Macaca mulatta: one gene and its partner. The protein of the gene in region 2 purifies or fractionates together with the protein of the main gene of each other region. This does not show direct contact. Links are inferred from orthologs where the notes say so. Each region holds a gene or a part of one and is shown on either strand. Other genes may lie near its edges. The genes, in order: NIPSNAP2 and PRKCZ.

Region 1 (4,487 bases), on a different chromosome or scaffold from region 2:
ATCATGCCATTAAACTCCAGCCTTGGCAAAGGGCAAGACTCTACATCTAAGGAAAAAAAAAATCCTTTAGTCGTCCCCTTCACTAACAGGTCCGAGCCCACATTCTTCATAGGAATCCAGACGAGTATTGCTGAGGGTTGAGCTAGGGCAGTGGCGATGGAGAGGGTGGATTCAAGACATACTAGAGGCAGAACTGACAGATTTGGTAAATGATAGATGGTGGGAAAAAAGACGGATGGGCTTGGGGAAGACAGTCTGGCTTCCGGCCTGGGCCACCACATGGAAAATGTTTCATGACTGAAGAAAAAGTATCCAAGAGAAGCAGGCTTCGTGGAAGGAAGAGGAGTTAAATCCTGGGTACAGCAGTGTTTTGAGCACCTGTGAGACATTCAACGTCCAGGAAGCGGCTGGGGATTCCAAGTTTGCTGCTAAGCAGCGCTAAGTGAAATATGCTGGCTAATGTACAGGCAGGGATGAGGCTCCCAGGAGGATGCCCCTCTTGCTTGCTGAAACTGATCCGGCAAGGTCACCCACAACACCCCTGTTGGCAAATTCTGTTTTCTTCCATCATTTTACCTAACCCTTTGGCAGCAGATGGCACTCCCTCCCTCCTCCTGGCCACTGTAATATAACAATGACCTAGCCAGTTCCCCCTCCTACATTCAACCTGTATATGTTGCACGTCCCAGGGCTTGCTTTGCAGGCCTTCACTCGCCACACTCACGCCTCAAGCAATCTCACACATTCTGATGGTTTTTTGTTTTATTTTGGAGACGGTCTGGCTCTTTCACCTAGGCTGGAATGCAGTGGCATGATCAGCTCACTGCAACCTCCACCTCCTAGGTTCAAGCTATACTCCCACCTCAGCCTCCCAAGTAGCTGGGACTACAGGCACGTGCCACCATGCCAGGCTAATTTTTGTATTTTTTGTAGAGATGTGTTTTGTCATGTTGCCAGGGATGGTGTCGAACTCCTGAGCTCAAGCGATCAGTCCAGTTCGGCCTCTCAAAGTGCTGGGATTACAGCCTGAGCCACTGCACCTGGCTTCCTATGGTTTAAAAAGTTTCATTACACAAATTTTTATTTATGTACTTATTTATTATTAGGGACAGAGTTCCACTATGTTGCCCAGGCTGGTCTCAAACTCCTGGGCTCAAGCAATCCTCCTGCCTCAACTTCCCAAAGTGCTGAGATTACAAGTGTGAGTCACCGCGCCCAGCCTTTATTGTGAAAAATGTAAACCAAATATGAAACAGTATAATGAAATCCATGTGTCTATTAACATTTAGCATTCCTATATACTGACAACTCCCAAATGTTACCTGTAGCCCAGACACCTCCTTTGAGGAGTCATATAGCCAACTGTCTGTTTGCTTTTCCACTTGAATAGCACACAGCCTTCACAAACTTTACCAGGTCCTAAACTGCTCTGAATTCTTCTTCCCCAGCGCTGCTGAATTACTGGTAAGCTCCCCGATGGTCTTGCATGCCTTATTCACTGACGTCTCTCAACAGTCAACAGTGCCTGACACTCATATTTGGCAGAACAAACAACTCTCAGCAAACTCTCAACTCTCAGTGCCAGCGTCCATTCAGCTGGCCACGACCCTTATTTCTGCCCCCTCTCCCAAGTCAGACTCATCTTTTTAAAAAGATCAGGCTGGGCATGGTGACTCACCACTGTAATCCCAGCACTTTGGGAGGCTGTGACAGGTGGATCACCTGAGCTCATAAGTTCGAGACTAGCCTGACCAACATGGTGAAACTCCGTCTCTACTAAATATACAAAAATTTAGCCGGCTGTGGTGGTGCATGCCTGTAATCCCAGCTACTTGGGAGGCCGAGGCAGGAGAATCACTTGAACCCGGCGGAGGTTGCAGAGAGACAAGACCGTGCCATTGCACTCCAGCCTGGGCAACAAGAGCAAAACTCCGTCTCAAAAAAAAATAATAAACCATGTTATTGAAAGCTCCCTGGCCGATGGTGAGTTTAACACACAGTTCCCTTGGTAATTTAAACTACCTAAAGCAATGAATATGAGAAAGTAACTCTGGGTAAGTTAGGATAGGCTTTGCTGTTTGAATGTGGAAAATAGCACACGCAAACGTCAAGGTGAAATTTGGACAACCAAACGTCCAATCCACTGAAGTTAGAGGAAAAAAAAAAAGAAGTTTACACAAGAGCCCCACGCCTGAACACTTAGTGCTGGTAACTCTAAGTACTTTTAGAACCACGGCCGGCTTTAAATTTCAAGTCAAAGACGTGAGTGCTTTGACCTCCTCCAAGCGTTGACTTCCCCCTCCCTCCGCGTAGGGCTGGCCCGGGACCATGCTTTAAGCTTTTATATCCTACTCACAGCACCTCAGAGGCCAGGGTCACCAACGTCCTCAGCAGAGGCGGCCACCCAGGCTTGGAGCAGCCTCCGGCGGGGACCCAGCAGGCGGCGTCTGGGGCCTGCGGCCTCAGGCGCGCGCTGTCCCTGTCCCCGGCCCCGGGTTGCGCCGGTCAGGGCCCTGCAGGCCAGGCCAGCGCCGCGGGGAGGATGTGGCCTCCGCGCCAAGCCTCGGGCGCCTTCTCGGGCGAGGGCGGAGCTGCAGCGCGGCCCGTCCCCGCCGTGACCTTGAGCCCGAGGGCGCCCCGACCCGGACCTAGGTCTGTCCCCACCGCCCCGAGACCGGGCGGCCACCCGCGGTGGGGAAAGGGCCGGGGCGGAGACCCGCGCCGGGAAACCCCGCGCCCTCCGCCTCCCGGCGGCCCCTCCCCGACAGCTCCCGGAAAGGGCGGCGCTGCTCACCGGAGCCTGGGCAGGAGGCTGCAGGGGGCCGCCCGCCGTAGGAGGCCACCGGCCCAGGCCGCTCCGCGAGCGCGTAGCACTCGCGCCGCCATCTTGCTCGGCGCCTCGGCTCCCACCACCCGGGCGCCGCCGCTGACGCCGCCGCCGCGCGACCCCTCCCCCGGCCGGGCCCCGACGCAACCACTGCAGTGCGGGGCGCGGCCGCCAGGGGGAGCAGGGCGCCCGGCCGCGGGGGTCGGCTGGTTGTCCCGGCGCCGAGGTCCGACCACTGCGGGAAAGCGCGAAGCCCAAGCGCAGTCAGTGCAAGCCGATCACTTCCAGCGAAAGGAGTTCGGTGCCCAGAAGCGCGGGTGCAGAAGGGACAAGGGCATAGCTTCAGTGATCAGGGAAAACTCCACAAGGAAAGAGTAACACTGTGCCTAGGGGAATCCAGGTCCTGGGGCGGGGCAGCGGCAGTGGAGTTCCCCCCACACCACCCCGCCAATATCTTTTAAATTTTGTAGTATATGAATATGTTGTCATTTCAAAAAGCCCCACAACGCTCCAGCCTGAGCAACACAGCGACATCCTGTCACAAAAAAAAAAAGAGAGAAAGAAAGAAGGAAGACAGGGAAGGAAGGAAGGAAAGGAAGGAAGGGAAGGGAAGGAGAAAGAGAAAAGAAAAGAAAGTGTAGCAGGAGGAGCCACAGACAAAGCTCCTCAGACACCGGATTAGAGAAGGAAGAGGTTTTTTATTCGTCCGGGAGCCTCGGCAGACTCACGTCTTAAGCGCGGAGCGCCCCAAAAAAGAAATACTTGGCCTTTTTAAAGGCTTACAACTTTAAGGGGTCTATGTGAAAGGGTCGTGACAAATAGAGCAAGCGTGGAAAACGTGACTGGGGCCTACATAAATCAGCTAACAGAACAAAAAGTTTTACAATGGCTTTTTCATACAGTGTCTGGAATTTACAGATAACACAAGTAGTTTAGGTCAGGGGTTGATGTTGTTAGTATTACTTTTTTTAACTCCTAGGGCTGGGTGGTGGTGCCAAGGTTGTCTAGCTATTTATCTTACTTTTGTTTCTTTCTCTCTTTCCTCCTGTCGTGTGAACTAGGCAAGGTGGGGGGAGGAGGGCAGCAGGAGTAGTAGTGGTCTCCTTCCTTAAAAGAAAGTGAGGAAGAAATTTTAACCACACACATACACACAAAAAAAAATTAAGGAGAAAGGACTGGGAGGGTTCTCTTTAGGTCTTGGGACGGCATCATTCCCATTCATTTCAGCACCGGTGGGCACTGGCCATGGGAGTCCTTGGTACCTACCCTCAAGGCCGTCCGGGTCTAGTGGTGACAGAATGACAATGATGATTGGACCGAGTGTGTTGTAAGCATCAAGATGGACAGGTTCATGAGACGTGAAAGAGGCACGGAAAGAGAGCATGTAACCGGGGGTGGCTGTGAATTAGAGGATAGATGGGGAAAAAGTTCCCCAAGGAGCTGGCAGGACATATCAGTCCCAGGGAAAGAAGGGAGGGCATCCCTGGCTGAGGAAATAACTTAAGCAAACGTGTGGATCTGGGTGGCTGACACTGTAGAGGGAAAAATGTATCCTCCAGGAAGACAAAAAATAAAAAATAAAAAAAAAGCTACAAATGTAGTCGGGCCCGGTGGTTCATGTCTGTAATCCCAGCACCTTGGGTGCTTGGGTGGGGGAGGC
Region 2 (2,864 bases):
GGTGGTGCGACCCCCCTCCCAGAGAGCTCAGAAGACGGCTCCGCCACACCTGACCCCTGGCAGCCGGCAGACCTGCCTCTAGGAAGCCTCGGCTCTGGGTAGCTGTCCCTTCACCGGAGGGGTGGGAGGACGGAGAGCGCGGGCGCGTCCCGGGAGCAGGAGGGAGCGGAAGGTCCGTGCTGCTGGGAGGATTGCCTGTGTTTCCGGATGTCTGTAGGGTCATCATTTTGAACTTTAAGGCTGGGGTCTGTCACACATACATCTGTTAGTTTTCCCTAACTCTCAGTACTGTGTGACAGGTAAGAATATTTTCCAAAAGTCAAACGCGTTGCACGAGGGATCGTGCAGGCACTGCTTAGTGTGGTCAGAAATGGATTTGTGCAGATTTAGTTTTCAATTTTCTTTTTCTCTTTTTTGGTCTACTGTGCTTTGGTGAGCCACATTTTAGAATCTCTATGATCCAATTTCCCCATCGGTCCAGTGAGCTGGCTGGCCCAGCCGCCACCTGCTTAAGGTGTCACTTCACCCTGAGACCACAGCGGCTGGGCACACGCTCTGCAGGAACAACCACAGGAACTTACCGGGCTTTAGGAAACGGTGCGAGTTTGTACACTTCTTGATTGCGTGTGTCCCCACAGGCACTTACACTCCCGCCCCCACCTGTGTCCTGCTGGCTCCTAACCTGCCCCCCTCCATGTGGCTGTATCGGAGACGTGGGGCAGGCGCCACTCACGGAAAAAAGGCATCAGAGGGGCTTCCACATCATCGGAACTTTTATTCCTCAGGACGCTACACGCTCCCTTTCCTGGCGGGGCAGGTCAGTGCATCGAGTTCTGTTTCCGTGGAAAATGTGCACCTTGGAAACTGCATGACAGCCCCTCAGCAGGGTCCCCGCGGCCACCGCGACACAGGCTCAGCAGCAAGTTCCTCCAGCACGAAGCTGGCCTGCCCGGGCCCAGGTGTGAGGGACCGTTCTGCTCCCAGCAGCGCCTGCCGACGCTTCCCTCCGTGGTCTCGGCGCAAGCGTCTGTCCCTGGCTGCCCTCGGAGCCGTGCCCAGCCTGGCATGCATATGCGGTGGTTAAGGATACAGTTAAAGGGTCAATCACGCATGTCCACGACAGAGACGCAGCGGCCTCACACCGACTCCTCGGTGGACAGCAGTAATGGGTTGATGTACTCGAAGCCTTCGAACTCCGACTGGTCGATCCTCTTTATGGCATCCCTGTGGGCAAAGGCGGCAGGGGGCGGGGGGGATGACCTGTGTTCATTCCCTCTGGGGAGGGGAGTCACATTCGCAAAAGAATCCTCCCCCAACGCCCACCGGAGAGAGGACGCCAGGCGGGCGGGACTCAAGGGCAGGCCGGGTCACCAGCCGCCCAAGGTGCCGGCCTGCCATGGGGCTGCCCGGGGGGGGTGCTCCGGGGTCCCCGCACCCAGTGGGACTTACTCATCGTCTGGGGTCAGCTGCACGGGCTCGCTGGTGAACTGTGTGTCAAAGTTGTCCAGACCGTAGTCGTCCGTGATCTGTGGCTGGAATGGAGGGAGCGCCTGCTTCTTCTCCAGCTTGGAAAAACAAGGCAAGAAGGGTCAGCTCCGCGCGGGCATCATCCCTACCAGATTGAGAGTTCCGCATGCACTTGAATCACAGAATGAAACACTGAGAAACTCAGCATTTCAATCTGCCTAGTATTTGAATGCCAAGTGTTTCTTCTTACAACACAGAACCTAGAAAATCTCCAAAGTCAGAAAAATTGTTGTCGAGCTGAGAGGAACGCCAGAAGTGTGGGCCACGCTGGCCACATGTGGGATGGAGCGGGACCCCCGGCCACCCTTGTGAGGCCACCCCCTTCCTGGGGGTCCTTGTTGAGAGGGGCACCAACGCTAACTGGCTGAACAAGCCGTCTCATGACGTCTTGGAACCCTGACCATAAAGGCGCAGGACCTGCCCACAGCACCCTGCCTGCACTGGTACCGCACGATCCATCTGTCAGGAGCCTCCTGCCGGCCGTTTCCGCCTATCCAGGCATCGACTTCAGAATCTCAGGTGCTGCTTGGCAGGAAAATGCCCAGCAGGTGGGCCTCGGCTCAAGGCTCACTTCTGGCCACTGCGTACTGGGCCTTGGTGATGCACCTGTGCCAGGGAGGGCAGAACGCTGGTGCCTGGCACAGGTGCCACAACACACACAGGTGAGGACAATGAAAGCCCCTCAGTTCCCCTGACTCATGGCCACTTGTCCCAGTGACACAGCTATGCTCTCTCACCCACCCACAATAGGGTCTGAATGTGCCCCCCAGATTCAGTGAGAAACTCATTCCCCAGAGCAACAGTGTAGGAGGTGGGGCCCGATGGGAGCCCTGCCCTCACAGACGGATTCCTGGAGCTGTCAAGACAGCTTGGGCATGGATTCCTCTCTGCCTTTTGCCATGAAGGCACGTGGCCTTCCTCCCCTCTCCCCTCTGGGGAATGCGGTGTTTGGGCACCCTCTTGGAAGCAGAGATCTGGCCTCACCAGACACCAAGCCTGCTGGCACCAAGACCCTGGACTCCCAGCCTCCACAGCTGGGAACAACCTCTGCTTCCTGGAAATAACCCAGGCTCAGGTAGTCTGTTACAGCAGCACCAAGACAGACATTCACGCTCTCCCTCCCTCACTGTCTAACCCACTCCGACTCACGCTCTCCCTCCCTTGCTATCCCACTCACTCATTCACTCGCTCACTCTCTAGCCCACTTTTTTTTTTTTTTCTTTTTGAGATAGAGCCTCGCTCTGTTGCCCAGGCTGGAGAGCAGTGGCGCAGTCTCGGCTCATTGCAACCTTCGACTCCCTGGTTCAAGCTACTCTCCTGCCTTAGCCTCCTGAGTA

The links.
Region 1: the proteins of PRKCZ (region 2) and NIPSNAP2 purify together in Homo sapiens (affinity purification with mass spectrometry; 3 studies listed by BioGRID and IntAct, counting the BioPlex papers as one, with this or other methods). This does not show direct contact. The link is inferred for Macaca mulatta from reciprocal best matches to the Homo sapiens genes PRKCZ and NIPSNAP2.

Annotation. Positions count from the first base shown.
Region 1 is NC_133408.1:72,026,518-72,031,004, reverse strand, and holds the start of NIPSNAP2 (protein NipSnap homolog 2), read right to left. Parts: upstream 2,912-4,487; 5' UTR 2,887-2,911; coding exon 2,795-2,886; intron 1-2,794. UniProt on the Homo sapiens protein: Protein involved in mitophagy by facilitating recruitment of the autophagy machinery required for clearance of damaged mitochondria.
Region 2 is NC_133406.1:238,497,268-238,500,131, forward strand, and holds the end of PRKCZ (protein kinase C zeta type), read right to left. Parts: exon of another isoform or gene 1,566-2,864; coding exon 1,450-1,565; exon of another isoform or gene 1,225-1,449; coding exon 1,137-1,224; 3' UTR 756-1,136; downstream 1-755. UniProt on the Homo sapiens protein: Calcium- and diacylglycerol-independent serine/threonine-protein kinase that functions in phosphatidylinositol 3-kinase (PI3K) pathway and mitogen-activated protein (MAP) kinase cascade, and is involved in NF-kappa-B activation, mitogenic signaling, cell proliferation, cell polarity, inflammatory response and maintenance of long-term potentiation (LTP).